Linked DNA regions of Xenopus tropicalis. The protein of the gene in region 5 interacts with the protein of the main gene of each other region in a biochemical or structural test. Links are inferred from orthologs where the notes say so. Each region holds a gene or a part of one and is shown on either strand. Other genes may lie near its edges.

Region 1 (3,500 bases), on a different chromosome or scaffold from region 5:
CATTCGCATCCAGTGATGATCCATATCAGGGACCTAGGACCATCACAAAGCAAGAAATAATGGTGAGTCTAAATGATCTCTTGCAAATGTAAACATTTTATATTTTGTATAACCAAATTGGTATGTTAAAATCACTCCTAATGATGGTTTATGTATTTCTTTTTAAAAGGCAGATTATTTGCAACCAAAGCTTTTAGGAATATTGGCTTTCTTCAATATGCACCTGCTGAGTTCCAGTATTGGCATTGAAGACAAAAAAATGGTAAGTAAATGAAGTTTTTTTTTTTTTTTTAACAGAATGAAACATTATATTTTATCAAAATAAAGCAGTCTAAAACTGTACAACTATAAAGATTTGCACTGCAATAGATTAAACCTATAAATCTCATGTTTTGGCACAATAATTCCATAAAGATGAATGTGCTGTTAGTGCCAATTTGAAAACCTCCCTGATATGGTCACCATCAGAAATAGAGAGTTTTATGTGGCAGAAGGATTCCCAAATGCCTCTTAGTAACAGACACATAAATTAGATTTGTACATAGTAACAAATGAGCCTCTCTGTCCTAGACATTTAGTTGGATTATTATCTCTGTATCTAGGCCATATTTCATTTGGCCAATTGGAAAGAGGACTCGGTAGAGGTAGATGAATATAGCTTAAGGAAATATAGTCATTTGGGTTTCTCAAGCTTCATAAAGGTAATAAAACTATGAGAAAAAGACTTCAGGACATAATATGTTCCCAAATGCTAAATCTAATCTTTAAACTAAAGGAAAGATTTCAACAGAAGGGAACATTGCATGCTGCGTTTTCATCTGATTGTCGAAAGATTACATAGCATGCAGCATTTTCATCCGATGACCCTTGTTTCTCACTGAATTGTCAGATGTGGATGGTTAAAGATATTACCATTCCACTTTATCTGATAAGAATTCACATTACGGCAAGAAGGACCACCTTTTGCACCATTCTTTGTACAGATGCTTTTGCTGTTTTGTGCAGTAGTATAAATAGTTTGTATATCTGACCAAATCTCCCAAGTCCTGCCTTAAGGCCTCAATAAATATTTCACTACCCAGTAGGATTGTTGGTAAACTTTATGGTCGCTCTATGTTAGAGAGAAGGGAAATCGGTAAAAAAATATCCGTTTCTAAATGTAACTATATACTTTTTTTTTATCTTTAATATTTATTGTTTTATAGCCACAAAATAAACATTTTACGTTACACAAAATGTAACTAAATACTTTTTTTTTTTCTGCAGGCCTTAAATAGTCTGGTATTTTTAATGAAACTGATGGGTCTAAAGCATATAAGTTCCGTTAGGGTTAAGATGATGACAACGTTAAGAACTGGCCTACGCTATAAAGAGGAATTTCCAGAACTCTGCTGCAGGTAATCTTATAAATGAATGTAAATTATCTTTAATATCGTTTCCTTGGACAATATTAATGACAATTTCCATTCTTCACAGCCAAAAGTACCAAGTTGCTCTGTAGACTAATAGTGAAAATCACAGCTCTAACAATTCAGTGAAGAATGATTCTAGGTTCTTTTACATTCTCTCCTTGCTTTAAAGGGGTGGTTCAGCTTTAAGTTAACTTTTAGTATGTTATAGAATATCCTATTCCTAGCAACTTTGCAATTGTTCATCATCGTTTTTTTTTATATGTATTTAATTATTTGCCTTCCCTTTCTGCCCCTGAGAGGCTATAAGTTTAATGTTATTGTAACTTTTTATTACTTATTTTCCTATCATCCTGTTCATATTCTAGTCTCTCATTTAAGTCACTGTCTGGTTGCTAGGGTTAATAAGACCCACTAAACTTTAAAATGTAGACCAGTTGCAAATTGTCGCAGATATCAATATCTACATAATATGAAAAGTTAATTTAAAGTCAAACTACCCTATAACTGTCTAACATACTATTAAGAATGGTTCTAGGCTTCTTTTGAAAGAAACCATTCTTAATTAGATGTCGGCTGTGATTTCCATTATTAGAAATATTATCCTTAAGCTTCAGTATAACAGTTCTTCTACTGGTCAGTTTTGAAGAAAAAAAGAATAGATCTTGCTTGACAAAACTGTTGTCTTAATAATTAAAGCATATATATATATATATATATATATATATATATATATATATATATATATATATATATATATATATATATATATATATATATATATATATATATATATATATATATATATATAGAGAGAGAGAGAGAGAGTATATATATATAAAGTATAATATGTATATTAAAAATATGTTTGTGTTTCTCCTGATATCATGTAGTGCATGGGACTTGTTTGTTCGCTGCTTGGATCCAGCGTATCTGGGCTCCCTCCTCAGTCATGTGATTGTTGCATTGCTGCCTCTGTTGCACATCCAGCCTAAAGAAACTGTTGCAGTGTTCCGCTATCTTATAGTTGAGAACAGGTATGGAAATAGTATTCTCAGTCAGTTTATATTTCATGATCTTCTTGAGCTTGAGTGTACACAAGGGGCATATTATTATAGTGTGTAAGCCAACATAACCAATCATGCTGCCCATAGCAACCAATTAGATCTTTGCTTTTGTTTTTTAGCTTGTGACCCTTCAAATCTAAATGCTGATTTGTTGCCATAGGCAACAACACCGGTGATGCAGGCTTACACATAATAATAAATGCCCCATGGACTCGACATGAGTTCTTTAAAAAAGTTACTAATACCAGAAATTAAACCTTTTTTTACATCTATCATAACATTGTGTTTGCATGCTATTTATAATTTTGCTATAAAAATATTTGCTCACTGCATTTCTGATCAGGTCCTATCTTATCTGATCGTCAGAAATGGGTATAGCCATTACCTTACTTTCCTAGGTGGCCACAGCCATGTGACTTTAGCTCTGATAAACTTCAGTTACACTTTACTGTTGCGCTGCAGAACAAAAGGAAGGTAGCAAATAGCAGCTACCTGACACTTCTGCAAGGATTCAGCTTCCTGAACTGGTGTGTCTCCATGGACTTTTAGTAAGTTGGTAAACAGCTAAAACTGCCTATATTGTCTCCCAATAATTTAGGGTGTTTTAGTCATTTCTCTGCCAACTAAAATACACTGTAAAAAAACTGCCCCATGTGCTATTGGCCTCAATTAGCTTGTATAGTAAAGGATCTATAAATATATACATACAGTGTGCACTTGCACTTGTAAATAATGGTACATTAACTTCTGTGCTGTGGAGGGCAGAAGTAGAAGGCACCCAGAATATATTAAATGCAGTGAGAAACAGAGGGCAGTGGCACCCAAAATACATTAAATACAGCGAGAAGCTTTAGTCCCCAATACACTAAATACAGTGAAAGACAGTGATTTCTAACAGTCACGACCCCCTTACCCTTACAAAATGCAGGTGTCCTGGGGGCTGGAGAGGATTCTAGCATTGTAGAGTTCAGAATAAGTCTGTAGTTGGGAATCTGATCAGCTATTATCCTGGCTTCTGCTTTAA
Region 2 (4,152 bases), on a different chromosome or scaffold from region 5:
AATGTTAAGCACCCCCAAGTGACTTAGATCGCTTACCTTGTACCCTGGGCTGGTGCCCCTGTTAGGAGAAAAAAGCACCAGCCCAGGGTACCTGTAGGAAGCGCTTCCTCCTTCCTCTCGGCGAAATCCGTCGGCTGGCGCATGCGTAGTAGAGTAAAAAGCCGGCTTTGTTTTTTAAGTTCGGCTTTTCACTCTACTGCGCATGCGCGCGCGGCGCTACATGAAAGAGGAAGCGCTCGCTGCTACCCCGGGCTGGTGCTGTTCTCTCCGTACAGGGGCACCAGGTGAGCGATCTAAGCCACTTGGGGGTGCCTAACATTTTGGCACCCCCAAGTGACTTAGCCTTTCCTTCTGCTTTAAAGCAGCAGTTCTCAACCTGTGGGTCGGAACCCCTTTTGGGTGTCGAACAACACTTTCACAGGGATCTCCTAAGACCGTCGGGAAAACATATATTTCCAATGGTCTTAGGAACCGAGACACCGCTCCTCTATGGTTGGCGGTCACCATAACATGAGGAACTGTATTCAATTGTCATGGCATTAGGAAAAGTTGAGAACCACTGGCTTAAAGAGCACTTATATTTGCCTATTTGTGTCTGTTAGTTACCCCTCCCATATAGATTGTAAGCTCTACGGGGCAGGGACCTCCATCCTCTTGTGTCCTCGACTCTTAACTTATTGCTGCTGTATTTATCTGTATTTATTATTATACTTTGTATTTATCTATTATCTTATTAACACCCTGTTTGTATTAATGTATTCTACTGTACAGCGCTGCGTACATAAGTAGCGCTTTATAAATAAAGACATACATACATATACATACATACAATTTCATCTTTTTCAGCAAAACTATAATAACACATAAAACAGGACCCTAAAACCCCCAGAAATGTGTTCAAACGTTAAGTAACCTGACAAATGTAATTAAATCTAAGTGGCTGCAAAAATTTGCGTGGTCAAAAAAAAAATCGATGTGCAGCGCGCAGCATTTATTTTTGTCCTTCTTTCCGTTTTCAAAATGTTGGGAGGTAAGCTTTATGGGCAACATGCAACCCTAGCCAAAACTTATCAGCTCTAAAAATAAACAAGTTATTAAAAGGAATTATTAGCACACACGTTATGCAATGTATAGTTGTGCTGTTAGTGGGATGCAGAAACTAAGATACTCTCGCTGTTCAAAAAGAGCAGAATCGCGCGCGGAGCTTACGCAATCCTTTCGCGTTGGGATTGCCCAAATCAAAAATGGAGACTCATGTTGGCCATACAGTATATTCTAGAACATTTCGGACGTCCGTACGGCCCCTCCGCCCTTATATTTCCGGAAGTAGAGCAGCTATCATAAACAACAGCTGTTGCCCGCCTTTACGATGGCGACGCGGGCTTCCTTCAGTGCTGACTTAGTGCGCATGCTCACAGGAATTGTAGGAAGCTTACACTGGCCGGTCCGCCTGGGTGCTCTACTTTGATGCTGTGACGTAGAAGGCGTATCGTCGGCTCCCGGACAGTGTTGAAAATAAACAATCAGAAGCGCGGTTGGCGGATTTTGAAGCGCTGAGCTTAATTAATCGATTTCTTGTTGACCCCCACTAAGCCGTTTGTTTTCTAAAAAGAGATTTTGTTAAGGTGGACTGATCACTTTTTGGAATTCTCCGGTCCAACCTTCCGACTTGTAACAAAGAAGGGGTGCGATGGAGACTCCATTCACCCTTCGGGTTAGCTTCTCGTCGGACCAGGGAGGAAGGAAGTATATGGAAGATGTAACTCAGATACTAGTGGAACCGGAGCCGGGGGAGGACGATCAACCTTGGTCAGAGGAAGAGGAAGGAGCGGGGACACCGGGTAGAAACTGCAGGAGGGAGCGTTCGAGTAGTCCTACTGGGGGCAGGCAGACTGTTGCCTTCTTTGCTGTTTATGATGGGCATGGGGGTCGGGAAGCAGCTCACTTTGCTCGGGACCACCTTTGGGGTTATATCACTAAACAAAAAGGCTTCATGTCCCGAGATCCAGAGGAAGTGTGCGCCGCCATCCGCAAGGGATTCGTGGCTTGTCACCATGCAATGTGGAAAAAGCTCCGTAAGTGTCATGTCTCGGTCTCTACCCCCCCTGGTTGCACATAGGAGGCGACTCTTAGCAACCTGCCGGTCCCTCGCTGCTGTTGTGGAATCAAACCCGCTGCCTGGAATTGCTGCGACTGGTAGCTCAACAGCAGAGAGCTCTGTCGGTCGGGGACACCCCTAAAAAATATCTATGTCCTATAGAACATGGGTTGGGTAAACACATAATTCTAAGCAAAACATACAATCATCAAAATATAATGCTTTAAAATATATTTTCATTGAAAGCAGTCTTTATCAGTGGTTTTCTGCTGATTCTGTCTCCTGAGAAAATGTAGCAGAAGTCAGCATTGCATTTTGCTTGACTGGTCTGTAAGCTGTTTGCTTCTGCTACATTGCTTTAAAAGTCAGAACCAGCAAGGCAGGCATACAAGGGTTCAACAGAAATTACTATACAAATAATCTTAAAAGTGTTTAAAAACTGTAATTGCGTTATATTGGAAAGTTAAGAATTCATTTTTCTTTAATGAGGACATTTTATTTTTGGGTATTAAAGCCCCCTTTAAAAATAATAAATGAGAAGATGTGGCCATAAGGTAGTCGTTCCATGTGGTGAAACGTAGGTGTTCTAAATGCAACAACGTTAAATATAATTTAATGTAACACCATTTTTTAACCCATTTAATGTCAGGTGATAACATATTCATACATTCATATATTTAATGTGAGTAGAAACAATTGGTCCATTGACTGTAAAACTGTATTTATTACATGAGTTACCTTTCAGGTGGGTCAGACTAGTTGTTGCTGCATATTAAAAATGTTAGGTAATGGGAGTGGAAATTAGACAGGAATGAATTTTGAGTGACACCATAGGGGCTTGTTTGCATAAGGCGTTTCTATATTTAACAGCATGTAATTTTTAGTACAGTCTGAACTTTTATATGTTTCTATTTTTGAGTTTCTACACTATGTTATGGTCTCACAGATATTTAGTAGCATTGTTAAATGTAGCAACTTAATCACGTGTACTTTGTTGTTAATGTGGTAGTTCACCTTTTAATTGTTTGATGTAGCTATTGATATTGAGACCAGTTTTTATTTGTTTGCTTTTTAAAGTACCTTTTTGTTCAGCAACTCTCAAGTTTGTCATTTCAGTAGTTATCTGGTTACTACTGTCCAATATACCTTAGCAACAAATTAGCCATTTGAATGAGAAACTAGAGACATGGGGAGGATCTGAATAAAACTGTAAGAATCTCAAAGTAACAATAATGCCTTATAGAGCAATAATGGTTATTTGAAAGCTGGAAAGTGACAGAAAAAGGCAAATAATTCAGAAACTGTACAGAATAAAAACTAGTATAACAACTGAAGAGCTACTAAGGATAGGACATTCTGTAATGTACTAAAAGAAAACTTAAGGCTAATGGCACAAGGGCCATTTTGTATATACACCAGCAGAGAATAGCTGAATAGCCTGTCAGCGCACATATAGAGGGGACAGAATTCAGCAGATCCACTTTTCTCAATTGGCGTATATACATGCTAGCAGAAAAACAACGAAAATGTGGTATTAGCCTAAATGTGAACTACTCACCCAAGTATCCACTATGCCAAGTTTATAGGCAATTGTAAGGAATGTTTTTGTTACAGCTGTGCATTGAAGCATCCCCTGCCTGTAAATATTTAATATAAAGGCTGGCGTTTATATTCAGTGTTAGACTTTGAGACAAAATCTTTTTGCATTAAGGGGTCCATTTACAAAAGTCTGTTTAATAAGTTTAAAATAAATTGTAAAAGTAGTAGCTAATAATTGAACTGTTTGTAAAGTGCTGATATAAACCTAATATGCAATTACCCTAACCTCCTATTCCCCTAGTTATAAAAGCAAGTACACCAAGATAACTTCTGTTTCTATACTTTTGTGTTACACCACTCTGGCCTTGATGAAATCCATTGAAATTAATGGGATCAGTGTACAAAGTGCTATAGATAACACAGATTTTTCTTTTTATGGGCTCTCTAACTGTGCACTTTTAAACACAAGTTTTTTTAGGTTGTCCACCTCTTTTAGGGAAAAAAGTTTGTCTGTT
Region 3 (3,500 bases), on a different chromosome or scaffold from region 5:
AATAACTGATGTACATGAAGTACAAAGTTTTTGAGACTTTGCAGCCTATCCCATTTTATAGTGTCTGATTTTCAGCCTGAGATGAGTTAACTACTGATGTTGTTGTATTATATTTTCTTGGGACTGTTATAGGATGATTTTTTTTATTAGTTTATTCAGCTTTATCAGTTGACACAAACCCATTTTAACCAAGTCAAGTAAATATTTGGTAATATTATATTCTTAAGTGGGTGCTGTCATGTTACTGCATCCAAGAACTAATTCTAGCCTTTCTGTGTCAAACATGTCAGAGCAAACACATGGGAAAGAACAAAGTGCTTATAGTTGTGTCCTGGCAGGTTGATATCTCCCTAGACGAGGATTGTGAGATGAATATCTTGGGTTCCCCAATAAGTGCAGCTGCCCCTTGTTTGGAGGGACCACATGATGACATCAAAATGCAAAATCTTGATGGATTTGCAGATTTTTTTTCAGTTGATGAAGAGGAGATTGAGGTTAGTATTTTTGGCTTTCTAGTAACAAATTGCAGTGTGTAGAATGCACTCGTATATTTTGAATGAGCTACTGGAGCAACCTTTAAACCCTGCGTGCTTGTTTTAGTAATAAAGTGGATATATCTTATAAAGATCTATTCCTGGTTTTTGCTAATACATTGTTTCCATTGTGCATGTAGAATCCCTCTGGAGCTGTTGGTAACTTGTCCTCTAGCATGGCAATTCTTCTGTCAGGACCTCTTTTAAATCAAGAAGTAGAAGTCAGCAATGTAAACAATGTAAGTAATTTAAAGGGAATCTAAATCTAAAACCCAAAAATGTATATAATTAATTGATATACACTTACTCAAGGTGCTTCTTTGAGCAATTCTGCAATTTTAAGCTCATTTTCTATTTTTAGTAGTGTCTGAGCATTTTTAGCCTGTTAATGCCAGGCTTTTGACTCAACTGACTGTTGGCAACCCTAGGGTTAACTAATTCTGCACGATTTACAACTATTTCTTTGCCCAAATTCAGTATAGTTTTTGTGAACATGGAAACTATTTAGTGACCTCCTCTGCTAGTGGAAAAATTGAGAGTTTTATAATTTGCTCCTGTGTGCAGTGTACGTTTTAAAACTTCCTGCTGAAGTAGTTACTGTTTTTGCAACAAAGTAGCATGTCACCATTAAGTAGACAACAATGTGCAATTAAATTAGCATTTTTTAACACTGCCTAGTAAAGAATATTACAGTGTGAAATTTTTGTTCTTCATGCATTTTTTTTCCTCTTTACAGAAAATGTACAGAAAATAATTTCGTAGAAGATTAATTCAAATTGCAATATTGCTCAGAGGACCACTCTGAATAAATTTACACCATTTAATTTTCCTTTACGAAACAATCATCCCAGGAATATTCTGTAACCTTGCCTTTTCTGAATTAGTTGAAGTTTAGACTTAAGGATGTGAAACGTATAAACTCCACATCCTTTTAATGAACTGAACGCTCTGTGTTGATCCGTTTTGTTCCACAATATACATCGGCCAAGTGAAAAATACAAAGTTCACTGGAAAGCAAAGCAAGTGCAACTTCTGTGTAGTTGAATTAGAGATGCATAGCACTACATGTTTTAGACCTCACAGGTCATTCTTCAAACAGAAGAGATTCATAGTACAGGTATAGGACCCATTATCCAGAATGCTCGGGACCAAGAGTATTCCGGATAAGGGGTCTTTCAGTAATTTGGATCTTCATACCTTAAGTCTACTAAAAAATCAATAAAATATTAATTAAGCCCAATAGAATTACTTTGAATCCAGTTAGGATTAATTATAATTTAGTTGAGATTAAGTACAAGGTACCATTTTTATTTTTACAGAGAAAAAGGAAATACATTTTCAAAATCCAAATTATTTGATTAAAATGGAGTCTATGGGAGACAGGCTTTCCGTAATCCGGAGCTTTCTGGATATTGGGTTTCCGGATAACGGATCCCATACCTGTACTTGCTTTGCTCTGCAGTGAACCTTGTTATTTTTTATGGTAATGCAACGGGAACCTGGTGAACCCAAGCCACTGTTGGTTTGAGCACCTGACATACTTCAGCAACTTCAAATAGATGTTTATGATTTGACACATTAAGTGAACCTGCTCTGCTTAACAAGTTCTATGGTGTGCTCTGTTTTTCTGCTTTCTTGTGTTCAAATTAGTAAGCAGCACTTGATAGTATCCACTAAATTCTGCATTTCCCCTATACTCTTTCTATACAAACCTGATAAACATATGGCCTACTGTCAAAAACTTTGTTTTGCAGTAATCATTCCTTGGGTGGCCTTTGCCATCTTTCCCCAATGTTTTTCTTTACTCTGTGGCTTCTTATAGTTTTCTGTCCTAAAGAAGGGCAGTTAGATCCAGATCTTTGCTGTAGGAGAACACATACAGAAACTTACCCTTCCTCGAGTGCCAACACACCTAGTTGTCCTGTTGCTAGAAGTTGTTTTTAGTTTTACATCAGTGTGTTTTAACTGTTGTGTACTAGGTTTCCATTTATTTTCCAGTTAAATTCCCCTTTAGACATATGACACACAATAACATCCCAGCCTCCCTGTCAAGTGATCAGCATAAAAATATATCTTATTTCTCAGCTGTAATCTACACAGATTAAATACCACTAAAATAATTTACTCTTAAACAGATATCTTTAAACAGAAGCCGTCTTTACCGCTCACCATCTATGCCAGAGAAACTTGACAGGCCGATGCTTAAACGCACAGTGAGGCCACAAGACAGTGAAACACCTGTCAGAATTAAAAGGAGACGCAGTACCAGCAGCCCCCTTCAACCTGAGGAAGAGAACTGCCAACCAAGGAGGAGGGTAAGTCATATTCTGAAGTGTTTGCACACATAAGATAGCAAAGGGTGGGAAAACCTGGTGTGCAAAGCATACCAGTGGCATTTTCTTGCTCTTTAACTTTATTACACTATATTAGATTGCAATAAATATGGCAATGTTGTCCAATTGTAGTATCAGGGGCTGGAATTTTTCTGGCCTATGTGGTGGAGGGCAAATAATGGAAGCCAGTTGTGACCACTCACATTTTTTAAACCATAGAGTATGGTACACACAGGCATCGTAGGGCAGGCAGAGTAGGGAAGGAGACAGGGAAACCTATAATCTGTAACCTGATCATGGCCACTCCAACATGAACAGAGTTTGTACTGTACTACATACAGTGACAATGCCAGCACTCCTCCTACAGTCTGTCTGAGGTGTGAACAATGTGGGAGCCTTCAGTCTGAGCCTGAGGTCTTACAGGTGTGAACAAATAAGGGACTTACAGTTGAGCACAATACAAGGGCTTACAGCCTGGGCAATGCAGGGACCAGTTAATCTCAGTACTGATACCATTTAAAGCTTACACAAAGATAAGCAGCCAGACATGTGTCACTCGGGAGGAAATTCAAAAGAGACTTGAACATGTAAAGGTAAACAAAGGTCCAGGACCGGATGGGATTCATCCCAGGGT
Region 4 (2,933 bases), on a different chromosome or scaffold from region 5:
AAGCCACAATTTCTGTAATGTGTCTATGAAGATTTTCATTCATCCAGGTCATGCTATATCTAGTATAAATAAATTTAAAGCAACTGGACTTGTTTGGTAGCAATGTAAACATCTTCAGTGATTACCAAACAAGTCCAGTTGCTTTAAATTTATTTATACTAGATCATTTCTGTAATGGCTACACACCAGCTTTCACGTAGCCCCACATTCAAATGACAGCTGCACACTTTTTTTTGTTTTCTTAGTGATGTGGGTTTGGTTTGCATTGTGTATACGGAGACCAGTGCTCGGTGCAAATGTTGTGAGGTGCATTTGAATAGGGCAAATTTAGGTTTGTATAATGTGTTTTTGTAGTTTTACATGGATTCGGTTTGAACATCCCTTTCTTTATTTAGAACCATCGTAGCTCTGGTTTACAACGTACTGAAAACCTTAATGGAAATGAACGGAAAACTCTTTGATGAACTTACAGGCTCGTACAAAGCAGAGCGACAAAGGTATGCAAACACTGTTTATCGTCTCAGCGTGTTTGGTCAGTGGTAAAGTTTGCATTTCTCTGTTTGGCCAGAAATTTGCATTTTCACACTGTCCAAATTGGAAATGTCTTCATATGTTTTTCTTTTACGGTTGTGCACAAATAATAGCAAGGTTTTCCTGTGTCCAGTAGCCCATCACAGCCCCCCCCCCCAAAAAAACCCCTAACTACTGATTGATTGGTTGCTATGCAATTCACAGACCCCAGGAGAGAAATACAGTGCAGCACAAATGTGCTTTATATCCCACATGGAGTTGGTTTGCTTGTTGTTTGAGTCTACTTGAGTCTACTACTGCATAACCTATTGTATATATTGGCAAATCATATGCGCTTTATCAAGGCATTATATAATGCTATGCTCTATTCCTCTGATTGGGGGAGGCCTAGAGTGGGATTCAAAATAGACCCTGGCATTTCCAGTACACAGAGGCCCAAACAGCCCCCCATGGGCCCAATAAATAGTGACTGTCTATGGCATCTTACAGCAGCCCCTTTGGCATTTGCCAGAACCCACAGATTGCCAGTCCGGGCCTGGCAATCAGATGATTCAATTTGCTGTTAACTGAAAAGCAAGTGGAAGTTTAAAGGAATACTGTCATGGGAAAACACATTTGTAGGTTCAAGAGTAAAATGTTAAATGGCAGAGGGAATTATTTGCTATGTAAACAGCGTAATTTAGAAATAAAAAGAACCCCATAAAAATCATGACTTTTGTTTTTGTTACATTGTTTGAGGAAGGTTATTCATCTTTAAAAAAAAAAAAATTAGAATTTACTTTGGTTTTTGTGCTTCTATTTCTTGCAGCAGTCAGCATTTCTGAGCATCAATCGTCTCACACTCAAGGGCACTCACGAATGTTGTTCAGATAAGGGGGAGCAATGCCGGGCATTCCATCTCCCGCCCATGGAGCTTCTAATTCCCTGGGCAACAACAATGCCCAGCGTGATTACCCATAGAAACAGGGGCAGGTTTTAGGGCAGGGGCCAGGCCAGGATGGATAGGTTTAGCTATTAAAATGTGCTTAAGCTGTAGGGCTGGGACAGACGGGGAGATTAGTCGCCGCGAGACAAATCTCCCTTGTCGCGGGCTACTAATCTCCCCGAAATGCCATCCCACCGACTACAATGTAAATCGCCGGTGGGATGGCATATGCGGCCTTAAGAAGAAACTACGCCGATTTCGACTAATCTCCCCGTCTGTCACAGCCCTTAGTATAATGTAGAGAGTGCTATTCTGTGTCAGTTTGCAATTGGTCTTTGTAGTTTATTATTTGCGCTTTTTGTTCAGCAGCTCTCCCGTTTGAAATTTCAGAAGCTATCTGGTTGCTAGGGTCTAATTTAACCTAGCAACCAGGCAGTGATTTGAAAAAGAAACTGGAATATCAATAGAGGAGGCCATGCATAGAAGTATAAGTAATAAAAAGCAACAACGGCCATAAAATTGTAGCCTCACAGAGCAATAGTTTTTTGGCTGTCTGGGTCAGTGACCCCCATTTGAAAGCTGGAAAAGTCAGAAGAAGAAGGCAAATAAAAGTATAACAAATGAAGACCAATTGAAAAGTTGCTGAGAATATGCTATTCTATTACGTTAACCTAAAGTTGAACAACCCCTTTAATACAGTGAGGACTAAACTGTATAAGTGCTTGTAAATAAACATACAGACGTCTTTGCTTTCACTTTGCTGCCTCCCCAGACTCGCAAGTCAAGCGACTAATTGCAACGTTGTTTTTGTCTTTTTTTCCCAGAGAGAAAAAAAAAGAACTAGAAAGAGAAGAACTGTGGAGGAGGCTGGATGACCTGCTGCTAAAGAAAACTCTGGCTGACAAGCAGAACCCGGCTCTGTGTGTGCAGAACATACAGAACAATGCAAGTGCCAAATAAAAACAACATGACAACAACCTCTGCTCCGCAGGCAAATACTTTTAAACATGGCTTTGCCGCTAATGTACAGAAAGCAAGCAACCTTCTCAGTATCACATAAAGCCGACTCGTTGGAGGGACTGGCTGTTGGGGGGGCCGGTAGCGAGCATTGCAGGGCAATAGGTTACACAGGCCTTTCCCATAGCCGCTTTATAAACCCCGTGTTATATTTTTTTCCCAACAATTTTTTTCTATGTCCAGTCATTGATTGCTGGGGAGAAGAATTAATTTTTATAATCTGTAAAATAAGTAAAGTAATTCCGGGAGTGGTAAGAATTATGACTTGAATTCTTTAATATTATATATATATATTATATATTTTTTTTTTTTTTGATTGTGTTGCACATAGGTGTGTTAGTCTGCTATGTACATTTTTTATTTTTATTTTTTTGGCGTTTTACATTTTTTTTTCCTCAGTTGCAATTCTCCGTTTGGAGGTTCTTATCGAAACATTGGCACCTGGCACTACTGTTTCTAT
Region 5 (3,500 bases):
TTTGTGTTGACACTTACTTTTAAAATTATTTGTATGCTTCTTTGAGTGTATTCTGACATCAGACAATACACTGCCATTTATAGGCTTTGTGAATTTGATTTTATACATGACCTTTAAGGCAGAACAACCTGTGCCAATATATTTCATTAAACATTGATAGGAAGAACTTACAATTGGGATGTTGTCCATTTGGGCCCATGTAAACTTGCATCAGGTTGGATGCAACTTTGTAGATCTCAGTCACATGTAATAACATTCTGTTGTAAACACCCTGATAGGCTAGTTGCTACATAGTTACATAGGGTTGAAAAAAGACCAGAGTCCATCAAGTTCAACCCATCCAAGTAAACCCAGCACACACAACCCACGCCTACCAATCTATACACTCACATACATAAACTATATATACAACCACTAATACTAACTGTAGATATTAGTATCACAATAGCCTTGGATATTCTGATTGTTCAAGAACTCATCCAGGCCCCTCTTAAAGGCATTAACAGAATCTGCCATTACCACATCTCTAGGAAGGGCATTCCACAACCTCACTGCCCTCACCTTGTGATGGATTGCTGCATATTAAGGCTTATTTGGTATATGCTGTGTAGAACATTTGAGGCTGCAGTCATTTAGGGTTCAATCTGCACTCCACTGACTCAAACTAGAATACTCTAAAAACACCAGATAGCCTGCGAGGCCTTAGTTCATCATTAATTGGGAGTGTAGCCTTGATTTCCTTACCAAGTGTGGAAAAGATAGCAGCCAGTGGTTTACAATAGTTCTATGATTGGGCCTATTGATGCATTGTGAATTTTATAAAAATGTTTGGCAAGCTTTTGTAGAGGGAAATCACCTATACAGTGACATTAAAGAATAAGCTACCAATATTCATTATTTTACTTAGGTAAATGATGTCCCGTGATACTAAAACAGAGTCTCAACAATCTCAGGGCACCTCAAGTTCTTCCTCCAGTGCCCCTCAATCCTACAGTCAGTCGTCTTCATCGGGTACATTAAGTTCTTTGGAAACTGTTCCAGTGCAAGATCTTGCGTCCATTCCTAAAGACCCTGAGATAGATGAGGATATTCCCCAGCCTTGGGGTCGTCTCTGGGCCCTTGGAAGGGGCTTTTTAAATCATGGTACATACTTTTTTTTCTTGGAAATATCCCAGAAATATTTTGTCCCTTATACCAGTATGACAAAACACTTTTGCAACAAAGGTTTGTTTCAATTTATATGTCGATGGGTTTTATACAGTATGGGGAAATGTATTCACTATTGCAGTCTATGGCTTTATGTATTATTTCTTCACATTTGTGAAACAAATTGTATAAATTAAAATTAGCCTTTCATCTGTGGCTATTAGTGCAGGAACTGTTAACCTGAAAATGTCTTTTCTTGAAGACAGATGTAAAATAAGCTCTAGGTTGCCTGTCTATTTTTCTCTTCGGCCTTTTATGTGAACTGCTGTCTGGCTGCTAGGGTCAGTGTTTCTAGTAAATGGAAACACACTGATTTGTATTTTTATTTTTTGTCCTGTTTAGGCCTTGTACTGTTCATCTTCCAGTCTGTCATTCAAATCACTGCCCAGTTTCTGGTGTCAGTGACTGTAGCAGCCAGACAGCAGTGTACGTGCCAAAATGGAGAGCTCCTGTACTAAAAAGGTAATAAAAATACATATTTTAGTTTGGTGTTATCTGCTTCTTACAGTGGTATGGGAGTATGGCTTTGAAACAAAAAAAGGTAAATTTCTACATAGAATGTTCGTACATACAGGAATAGGATCCCTTATCCGGAAAACCATTATCCAGAAAGCTCCAAATTATGGAAAGACCGTCTCCCATAGACTCCATTTTAATCAAATAATTCAGAATTTTAAAACTGATTTCCTTTTTTTCTGTAGTAATAAAACATTACCTTGTAATTGTTCTCAACTAAGATATAAATGACCCTTATTGGATGTAAAACAATCCTATTGGGTTTAATTAATGTTTTATTGATTCTTCAGTAGACTTAAGGTATGGAGATCCAAATTACGGAAAGACCCCTTATCTGGAATTCCATTGGTCCTGTTCTGGATAACGGGTCTTATACCTGTAATACCTAAATCAGTTTTGTAACTAGCCCATTACCTCTCAAAGTCTAAAATCTCTTAAAGGAGAAATTTTATATAAAGTTCATATTCAGTTATAATATTCATCCTCCCTCAAAATGTGAAATAATGCAGAAAGAAAGATGTTTTGAAAGAATTGTATGAGAGCTGCATATACAACCTCTCCAGTTAGAAGCCAGAGTGAAATAAAACATGGGAGTGTCGCTTCAGTCTCCCACAGGAAGTGGTCACAGCACTGACTGATAGGCTTTACTCAACAGCAGCAGGGAAAACCATTCCCTCCTTCTGTGTCTCTCTGCTTGTGCTGCTGCCAGGGGGGGGAGAGGAGAGAGTAGAGCAGGAACAGACTGCCTGTGACTCCCCCCCCCCCCCCCCCCCCCCACTTAGGAATGTGTGATCTAAACCAATCAGCAGGAAGCTTCCTCATAGTCTTACAAACTGAGCATGTACATTGGTTTTGGTGTAGGAGCGAGGCATTATGAGAACTTTGTTTACACAGTTCAGCGGGTTTTTTTTTGTCCTATGAGGCTTCTGATCATCTGAATGGGAGAAATATGGGGAGACTTAAGGGCACTATTGAGAAAACTGAAGGTATGCCTGCAGCTTGAGATTAACTCTTTATTAGCCTTTCCATCTCCTTTAATGGAAACTGATTGTCATCTCCTGCACGGGCAATTATCAGAAAATGCACTTGGCATATTTGGGCTGTAAACTGCCTCTACCAGTGTTAATAGGTAGTTTCCTTGAAACACAGTGACAGGCAGCAGCTATGTTTGGAAAGTTCTCCTCTGTAATCCATCTGCTGATATGAACCAAGTGATTGAGATAAGAAAGCTTAGCTAAAAAACTGTTTATTTTGATTAGCTTATGCTGCTGTTTATGTGTAACCTAACGGCACTTTTATTTTTTCAAAAGATTGCCTGCTTGAAGAATATGTATTTGGAAGAGATAAAAAATGTGATTACACCTTCGATATTCCAGTAATAAACCAGACGGAGAGGTACAAAACATACAGCAAGCGACACTTCAGAATATTTCGGGTAAGTATATCTTTCTCACTTTTCCTCATGCATTAGTCTTCGTTTTTTCTACATTTAACATAGCAAGGTCTACATATATTTAAAACCTTTGTTATTCTGATAAATAGCTGTAATTATCTAGCTTGCCAAAGCAGTAGAAAAAAAGTCCTGTGACTAGATTAAAAGCCAAAGCTAATCGAACATGTGGCATTTTTCTGCTTGCAGGGGCTGAAGTGGCTTTCCCTGTTTTCAATCTTTTGGTTTTTGTGATCCGAAACTGACACAAATAAACCAGCTTTTCTCTTTAGAGGGGTTGATAGCTTTTGTTCATGTTGCTGCCTGTTGTTAACAAGAAAGTGTTTAA
Region 6 (3,500 bases), on a different chromosome or scaffold from region 5:
GAAATAAGGATTCTCTTAAAGGAAAACAATACCCCCAAACAATGTAGGTCTCTCTAAAAATATATTGCATAAACCAGCTCATATAACCCTGCTTCATCTAAATAAACCTTTTTCATAAAAATATACTTTTTTAGTAGTATGTGCTATTGGGTACTCCTAAATAGGAAATAGCTATTTTAAGAGTTAAGGGCCACCCCCTGGGATCATAAGATTGACGGTGCACACGTACATGCTAGGCCACATCAGCCAATTAATGAACAAAGTTCTGCCTTTTGCTCCCACACTACTTCCTGTTACAGTTAGAGCTGCATTATCTGAGGGGGCACACAGCCCATCACTAAATGGTGGCTCAAGGGAAAGGATGTAAAAGGGCAATATTTACCGATATATATTCAAGTTGTAATTTAAACACTTGGTTAATTGTGTTTTTAATACTATTACTGACTAATAGGAATGTTATGATTGGTGCTTTTCTTTGTGTCCATCCAGATCTTTTGTTTGCACGGAGGACTGTCTCCTTCAATAGATACACTTGATCATATACGGGCCCTTGATCGCCTTCAAGAAGTTCCACATGAGGTCAGTGTTTGAAAGAGGGTACAGATTATATACACAAATCAAAATGTCATGGTATAAATGTTATGTTTTTAACTGGCAAGACCTAATGTCTGACATTAGGCATAGGAGGGATGTACACTTGAATGTACACAACTAGTAACCGTTACTTCCATCTTGAAAAGTTTTGTTAAATTAGTTTAATTGCTGTGTGATCTCCTGTGATGTGTTCAGCCATCTTTTTATCTAAACCTAGTTCCACATATTAGTCATAACCTGACACACAAAAATACTGAAATGTTGAAATGTAGGCCTGGCCCTACATGAGGTAAAAATGAAGGGGGTCAGGAGAATTTGATTTTTACTAATATTTTATTTTTTTTCTTTTAAGGGTCCAATGTGTGACTTACTTTGGTCTGACCCAGATGATCGTGGTGGCTGGGGCATATCACCTCGAGGTGCAGGTTATACATTTGGACAGGATATATCTGAAACATTCAACCATGCTAATGGCCTTACTTTGGTTTCAAGAGCCCATCAGCTAGTGATGGAAGTAAGTTGTTCAAAAAAAAGTCACTGTTTTATGTGCACTTAATTTTGTTTTAGTTTATGAAGTAGTTGTATTTCAAATCCATTTTAGTTTCTAAACATAACTATTTCTCTCTCCAATCTCATTAGGGATACAATTGGTGCCATGATCGGAACGTAGTAACCATTTTTAGTGCTCCAAATTATTGTTACCGCTGTGGCAACCAAGCTGCAATAATGGAACTTGACGACACACTAAAATATTCATTGTAAGTATCCATTCCATTTTTTCTTATGTGGTTATGTAGCTCTAAAATATTATAATTATAATAAAATAGAGAGAAGCTGACAGATTGCTACATTGCATGTGCATAGTTATACTAGGGTTGGTTTCATCAGGAACAAAAATAACATAGTTGCGCATTTTCATATGGATAAACAGAACTCAACTGACCTATGTATGTATAACTTTATTTATAAAGCGCCACAAGGGTACGCAGCGCTGTACAATCTTACAGAATACAAAATTACACACAGGGAGCACAAGTGAAATAATAAATAAATACAGTAAATATATAAAGTGCCATGTGGTATGAAACACAGTGCCCCGTAGAGCTTACCAATGCTTGTTTAACTTATATGATACCACATTTATGATTAAGTGTAAACATATTCTGTTGTGATGTACAATAAGTATGTGTATTCAATCAACATGCAGGTTACATACATAAATACAATTGATAACTAACAGCCAATCAAAACTGTGTTCCTAAATAATTCTTGGCCACCCAGATATAGCAAAGCAAAACCATTATGGTTTGGTGTGTTTATGGCATTCAAGTTAGCTGGGTCAGGGGAACATTTATTGGGTACATGGAGGCCAATGAAGCATGCAAAAGAATGAAAATGACTTTGCTTCAAAGAGTTAAAAAAAAAAAATTGCCAAGTTGGTATTTTATGTCTTTATAAAGTGGTAGAATACCCTGCCCAAGTGATGCTGTGACGGTAGCTTCTAAAAATGCTATGCTGAGTTCCTGGATGAGCATGATACCCAAGGTTGATTATCCCAGATATGAGTGAAACGCAGTAGACACTGGCAGAGAATTGCATTTTAAGGTGTATAATGTTGAAACCTTTAACAATGTAGATTCCATATTGCAATTTGGGAGACCTGGGAGAATGTAAGAGATCCTTCGTGTTACTCATAATCATTTTGGAACAATTTTGTTGTCATTTTCTGTTCTTTTCTGTTTAGCTGCTTTCTGCTCTTACCCTATATTTGTACATTACTTTTCAGCTTGCAGTTTGACCCAGCACCACGCAGGGGAGAGCCACATGTGACCCGTCGCACACCCGACTACTTCCTGTAAACAGAATTTTACTCTTGTACAGTATTGCTACCAGCAGGATTTTGTCATGAGATCTCGGAAAAGCAGCAGTAACTTCAAATTCAGGGGAGCGTTGTCACTTATGTACTCTTAAATGATGGACCAAAAGATGTGCCATAAAAGCCTCTTGTTTCAACAGCCCGTGACCACCTTAGAGACCCTGTCCTTGCATGCTGAAGTGGCATTGTCTGTCAAAGAGAAAAAAAAAAAAATCTGTTTCCTGGCATAGCACTACTTGTAGTACATTTGCTTTCTCGGAGAGACTGCAAAAACTAAAACATTAACAACACGTGAATACAATAACTCCAGTTAGCTATAGCTCTACCTGGCATGATTATAGATAAGATAGAAACAGTCGGATTAACCCCTTCTGTGCTGCAGGGGAGGCAACAGCATTCTGCTGTCTTCTCTGGTGTGAAGGGGATACATGGACGTTTTTAATCAATGCGTACCAAGGGCCCTGCTGCCTTTATTGTGACTTCAGATATGTTTATTTTCAGGGAATACAATTTAATTTAAATTTCATATGCGCTTACTATTTTTTTTTCGTTTCACCCTTCCGCATCAATTTTCAAGTCTGCGACTGTTTTATTTTCTGTAGTTAATAACAAATACATCTGTACCGGAACCAGATCTTCTGTAAGACTTTGCTGCAGGACAGTGCAGCAGTATCCTTTCTTTTTCCCTTCCCCCATAATAAACTTGTGAACAAAGTCCTTATAAATGTGAACTGTCAAATTTTTTTTTTTTTTTTTTCTCGCTGACATCATGGGGCAGGAATGTGTTGTTAGTGTATTAATAACTTGACTGTCTTCCTCATCACTAACAAACATACAGTTATGGAGTCCAATTAAAGCAATTCTAATTTTTAAAGATAATTTTCTTTTTCTCTAATAATAAAACAGAACCTTGTACTTGATGGTAACTGAGCTGCATGAATCCATATTGGAAGCAAAACCATCCTATTGGGTTTAGTTAATGCTTAAAGGATTTTTGGCAGAATAAAGGTGATCCAAATTATGGAAAGAC
Region 7 (3,500 bases), on a different chromosome or scaffold from region 5:
TGAACAGTCCATAACTGCAATTAATTTCAAATTGGACACAACGTAACATCACATGGGGGAAAACATAAAATACCTTTGAAAAGTCCCCAATGAGACTGACTTGATCGTTGTCCAGCATACTTTCTATGTTCTGACTGGAAAGGGACTTTGATCGCATTAATCTTGAGTTCTATAAAACAAAAAGGAGGGAGAAGGGGGAAATGTTATTCTCAAACTTAAAGGGAAGGGGTAGAAAAACCCCAACAGCATGTTTGGTAGAGCCGAGAACTCACTTTGTCATGATCCAGCTCTTCCTTTGCAATTTCAGACACGCTCCTTCGCCTTTTGCTCTTTTCTGGCGCGTCTTCGTCCGGCGTTCGCTCCACTCGTTTCAGTGCTGGTTTTGTAGTGCAGTTTGGCTCAGAGGCAGGTCGGACCTCAAGACACTGAGGGGGATACAGAAGTGAGGAGTAGGATGAAGGAGATATGTGGCAGGAACCAGACTGGCAAAGAGTGTAAATCATACGACTGGAACACTTACATTTTCAGTGCTTTTCATGACAAGGGGAGCCGTCCATAGGCTTGCAACACCACAGGGAAACTCTGTATCGTTCTACAAACAGAAAAGAACATCTTAATATCCATGGCATGCTTTATAATAGCACCCACCTTGGGATCCAGATTTATTCATGTACATCGGTAAAAACAGCAACAGCTTACCTCTAGGTCCTCTCCGTCCAACATATCCAAGAAGCCATCATCACTTCCCTCAGTGGAAGTGGAAGCAGCTGAGGATTTTCTGACAAAGACCATATCAGAAGCTGCAACTTCACTTTTCCTAGGAGAGGACAGCTAAACAAACAAAGAAATTGATTTAGTGTAAAGGTTAAATAAAAATTAGCAAAAAGCAGGGCAGAGGGAATAGAAAAAAAAAAAAAAAGTAGGGTGTCGGGCAGTTTATGTACATGTGGTGCAAGAGATTGTAGTTTTCCTGTGTCCTGAGCAATACCTGTAGCAATCCTACTGCTCATGCTACCTCTATAAATGGAGCAGGCCGGACAGGCAATCTGTAGATTTTGGTAAATGAGAGCTGCTGTAAGATGCCATAGATACAGTGGTTTATCAGTAAGTGAAGCAGATCCCACAGTCGCGGGAGGCATGAACCGGAGTCGGCTTCCTCTATAGCACCGAAAGATTGTGCACCCACATCTGCCTGCATCAGGGGTGGGCAGGCTTCAGTATGTGCCAGGCCCCGCCAAAGATTTATTTTGGGCAGGGGAGTCCAGCAAGGTATTGTCACACCACTGCATAGACCAGGGGTCCCCAACCTTTCTTACTCGTGAGCCAGTCAAATGTAAAAAGACAGAGCAACACAAGCAGCATAAAAGTTCATGGAGGTGCCAAGATTGGCTATTAGGGGCCTCTATGCACACTATCAGCTTACAGGGGCTTGTTGGGGGATCACTGGCATAGACAGTGACTATGTTTTGGCCTTCTGGGGGGCTGTTTGGGTATGTGTACTTGAAATTCCAGAGCCTATTTTGCATCTCAGGCCAGACATGCTGGTATGGGTGATCACTTTAAAAAAAGCTGGAAGAAAAAGGACAGCCTCACAGTCCGATTACTGCAGGGAAAAGGGGGGGGAAGGAAAGCTCAGTTGGAGGGGGTGGGTAGAAACAAATGCAAACAGAGGTGGGGGAGGCAAATAGAATATGTAAAGGGTGGGATGAGAGGAAAAATAGGAGGGTGGAAAATAAATGTGAAATAGGAAACAGATTTAAAATAAGCAAAAAGACAGGGAAAATGGGAAAGGAGTAGCACAAGATTAACAGGAATAGAAGATCAGAAGTAGAAGGGAGAGAAGAAAGAAATGTGGAGATAAAAAACTGAGAAGAAAACACATCTGGAAAAAGGATAAGTGGGCTATGGAAGCACAAGAGATTAGACACATACCATACACGCAGGTGCAGATTTCTGTCTCTGAACGAGACTTTCCTTTCCATCCCCATGGAGTCTTGAGCGGAAACAGCCCCGGGAACGCGGTCTCGCTGGGATTTTAAACTGAAACTTTTCCTGCAAATGAAACCCACAGTGATTGTGTCACATTATTGTGGTGATTTAAGGAGCCCCCACTATTAACCTTACCTCGTATCAACCGACTTTATTTTGTTATTGATTTGTAAGCACAAAAATGACAAAACTAAAACACTGCATTTGCTGCAGCTAATCTAAATCAGACAAATTCAACTTGCAGTCCTCCTGCTAGGCCACAACTACCATGGGCCAGTGTATGGGCCCTTGTGGCACATAGTTCAAGATGCTACTGTGCCATTTACTACCTGCTTTGCAGCCTTTTAACACCTTAGCAGGCAGGGCAGGGTTTAATAGCAGTTGATTGATATCCAATGCTATATAAGAGCTTTAGAAATGATTCTATGTCCATTTAAATTTGCCAAATTGTTATTACACGGATCTGGGAATAATATTTAAATGTCTCAAATGCATTTTCTTTTCCTGAATGACTTGATAATAAACTAGTACTTACATTCTCCTTGTTCTCCAGGTCAGCTGCGTGGAACACTTCACATTCTAGAGAGTAAGAGAGATTCCTCTTAAAGGCAGGGCTGGATCCCAGTAGGTTTTGCTGAATGGAAAAAAGGAAGGGGGTTAAAGTACTGGTATGTTACCAGCTGCAATGTCCCCCTTACACACCGACTGTGCCATCACTGCTGTGGGACAAAAACAACTCATTCAGCAGCCGAAAAGGAATGAGCAGCTACAGTACAAGGTCAGTGTGTACAGCACTACTAACACTGGTATGTTACACAATTAATGCTACTGATGTCAACCATATCAATGTTTAGATGGTACCAGTATATGAGATAGTTTAATATAAAACTCACCGGCAGGGAGTTCCTCCTTTTGATTGGTAACCTTGTGCTAGAAAGACAAAAACACCATTTTGATATGTGAAAAGATCAATGGAGGATGAGCAAGAAAATCTCTACATTGTCAGAACTATGACACTTTTGGTGCAAGTTGTAAACTCCTAGTTATCTACAACCTCGGCATGTTCTGTTTGTGACCCCACTGGGGCAGGAATGGAGTGCGTCACTTAAGCAGGTCTTTTCACGGCATTCTACTCCCTTGCTCAGACAAAGCAGCATGCATACTGGCCTAGGGACACTGGCTGCCTGTGTAAGCTAGATTAGCCTGTAAGTGGGCAGACATTTGGTGGGCAGCCTGAGACAGTGGTCCCTCGGCTTCCTCAGGTTTGTGAATGATTACACAGAACTTACAGGAAAGGGGAAAGAAGTGGGTGGGGTCAGCAGCCAAAGAAAGGATACTCTTCCTGCAGCCATTTGTATTTCTACAGAAATTCTCTTTAAATTCAGCTTAGTTTAACCAGGGTACCATGATTCCCACTACTGTATCTTTAACAAACATACTTACTGTCCAAGCCTGTCAGAATTCTGAGTCGATTTCTGAAACCTAAGAGGGAGAATAAAGTGCATTTTAAA

Evidence for each region.
Region 1: of the proteins of chek2 (region 5) and atr, one has a biochemical effect on the other in vitro, tested with the Homo sapiens proteins (2 studies listed by BioGRID). The link is inferred for Xenopus tropicalis from reciprocal best matches to the Homo sapiens genes CHEK2 and ATR.
Region 2: of the proteins of chek2 (region 5) and ppm1d, one has a biochemical effect on the other in vitro, tested with the Homo sapiens proteins (2 studies listed by BioGRID, with this or other methods). The link is inferred for Xenopus tropicalis from reciprocal best matches to the Homo sapiens genes CHEK2 and PPM1D.
Region 3: of the proteins of chek2 (region 5) and cdc25c, one has a biochemical effect on the other in vitro, tested with the Homo sapiens proteins (14 studies listed by BioGRID). The link is inferred for Xenopus tropicalis from reciprocal best matches to the Homo sapiens genes CHEK2 and CDC25C.
Region 4: the proteins of chek2 (region 5) and ppp2r5a form a complex in vitro, tested with the Homo sapiens proteins (2 studies listed by BioGRID and IntAct, with this or other methods). The link is inferred for Xenopus tropicalis from reciprocal best matches to the Homo sapiens genes CHEK2 and PPP2R5A.
Region 6: of the proteins of chek2 (region 5) and ppp2ca, one has a biochemical effect on the other in vitro, tested with the Homo sapiens proteins (2 studies listed by BioGRID). The link is inferred for Xenopus tropicalis from reciprocal best matches to the Homo sapiens genes CHEK2 and PPP2CA.
Region 7: of the proteins of chek2 (region 5) and cdc25a, one has a biochemical effect on the other in vitro, tested with the Homo sapiens proteins (5 studies listed by BioGRID, with this or other methods). The link is inferred for Xenopus tropicalis from reciprocal best matches to the Homo sapiens genes CHEK2 and CDC25A.

The regions. Positions count from the first base shown.
Region 1 is NC_030681.2:119,636,567-119,640,066, reverse strand, and holds part of atr (serine/threonine-protein kinase ATR), read left to right. Parts: coding exon 1-62; intron 63-169; coding exon 170-262; intron 263-1,266; coding exon 1,267-1,397; intron 1,398-2,302; coding exon 2,303-2,446; intron 2,447-3,500. UniProt on the Homo sapiens protein: Serine/threonine protein kinase which activates checkpoint signaling upon genotoxic stresses such as ionizing radiation (IR), ultraviolet light (UV), or DNA replication stalling, thereby acting as a DNA damage sensor.
Region 2 is NC_030678.2:92,934,717-92,938,868, reverse strand, and holds the start of ppm1d (protein phosphatase 1D), read left to right. Parts: upstream 1-1,352; 5' UTR 1,353-1,690; coding exon 1,691-2,075; intron 2,076-4,152. UniProt on the Homo sapiens protein: Involved in the negative regulation of p53 expression. Required for the relief of p53-dependent checkpoint mediated cell cycle arrest.
Region 3 is NC_030679.2:47,993,207-47,996,706, reverse strand, and holds part of cdc25c (M-phase inducer phosphatase 3), read left to right. Parts: intron 1-338; coding exon 339-494; intron 495-673; coding exon 674-772; intron 773-2,668; coding exon 2,669-2,848; intron 2,849-3,500. UniProt on the Homo sapiens protein: Functions as a dosage-dependent inducer in mitotic control. Tyrosine protein phosphatase required for progression of the cell cycle. When phosphorylated, highly effective in activating G2 cells into prophase.
Region 4 is NC_030681.2:14,615,062-14,617,994, reverse strand, and holds the end of ppp2r5a (serine/threonine-protein phosphatase 2A 56 kDa regulatory subunit alpha isoform), read left to right. Parts: intron 1-395; coding exon 396-497; intron 498-2,280; coding exon 2,281-2,416; 3' UTR 2,417-2,433; downstream 2,434-2,933. UniProt on the Homo sapiens protein: The B regulatory subunit might modulate substrate selectivity and catalytic activity, and might also direct the localization of the catalytic enzyme to a particular subcellular compartment.
Region 5 is NC_030677.2:150,455,127-150,458,626, reverse strand, and holds part of chek2 (serine/threonine-protein kinase Chk2), read left to right. Parts: intron 1-907; 5' UTR 908-911; coding exon 912-1,143; intron 1,144-1,548; exon of another isoform or gene 1,549-1,668; intron 1,669-3,032; coding exon 3,033-3,157; intron 3,158-3,500. UniProt on the Homo sapiens protein: Serine/threonine-protein kinase which is required for checkpoint-mediated cell cycle arrest, activation of DNA repair and apoptosis in response to the presence of DNA double-strand breaks.
Region 6 is NC_030679.2:26,550,958-26,554,457, forward strand, and holds the end of ppp2ca (serine/threonine-protein phosphatase 2A catalytic subunit alpha isoform), read left to right. Parts: intron 1-489; coding exon 490-579; intron 580-946; coding exon 947-1,108; intron 1,109-1,233; coding exon 1,234-1,352; intron 1,353-2,380; coding exon 2,381-2,453; 3' UTR 2,454-3,191; downstream 3,192-3,500. UniProt on the Homo sapiens protein: Catalytic subunit of protein phosphatase 2A (PP2A), a serine/threonine phosphatase involved in the regulation of a wide variety of enzymes, signal transduction pathways, and cellular events.
Region 7 is NC_030682.2:12,723,567-12,727,066, reverse strand, and holds part of cdc25a (M-phase inducer phosphatase 1), read right to left. Parts: intron 3,472-3,500; coding exon 3,433-3,471; intron 2,920-3,432; coding exon 2,883-2,919; intron 2,624-2,882; coding exon 2,525-2,623; intron 2,053-2,524; coding exon 1,933-2,052; intron 832-1,932; coding exon 700-831; intron 593-699; coding exon 521-592; intron 426-520; coding exon 273-425; intron 170-272; coding exon 74-169; intron 1-73. UniProt on the Homo sapiens protein: Tyrosine protein phosphatase which functions as a dosage-dependent inducer of mitotic progression. Directly dephosphorylates CDK1 and stimulates its kinase activity. Also dephosphorylates CDK2 in complex with cyclin-E, in vitro.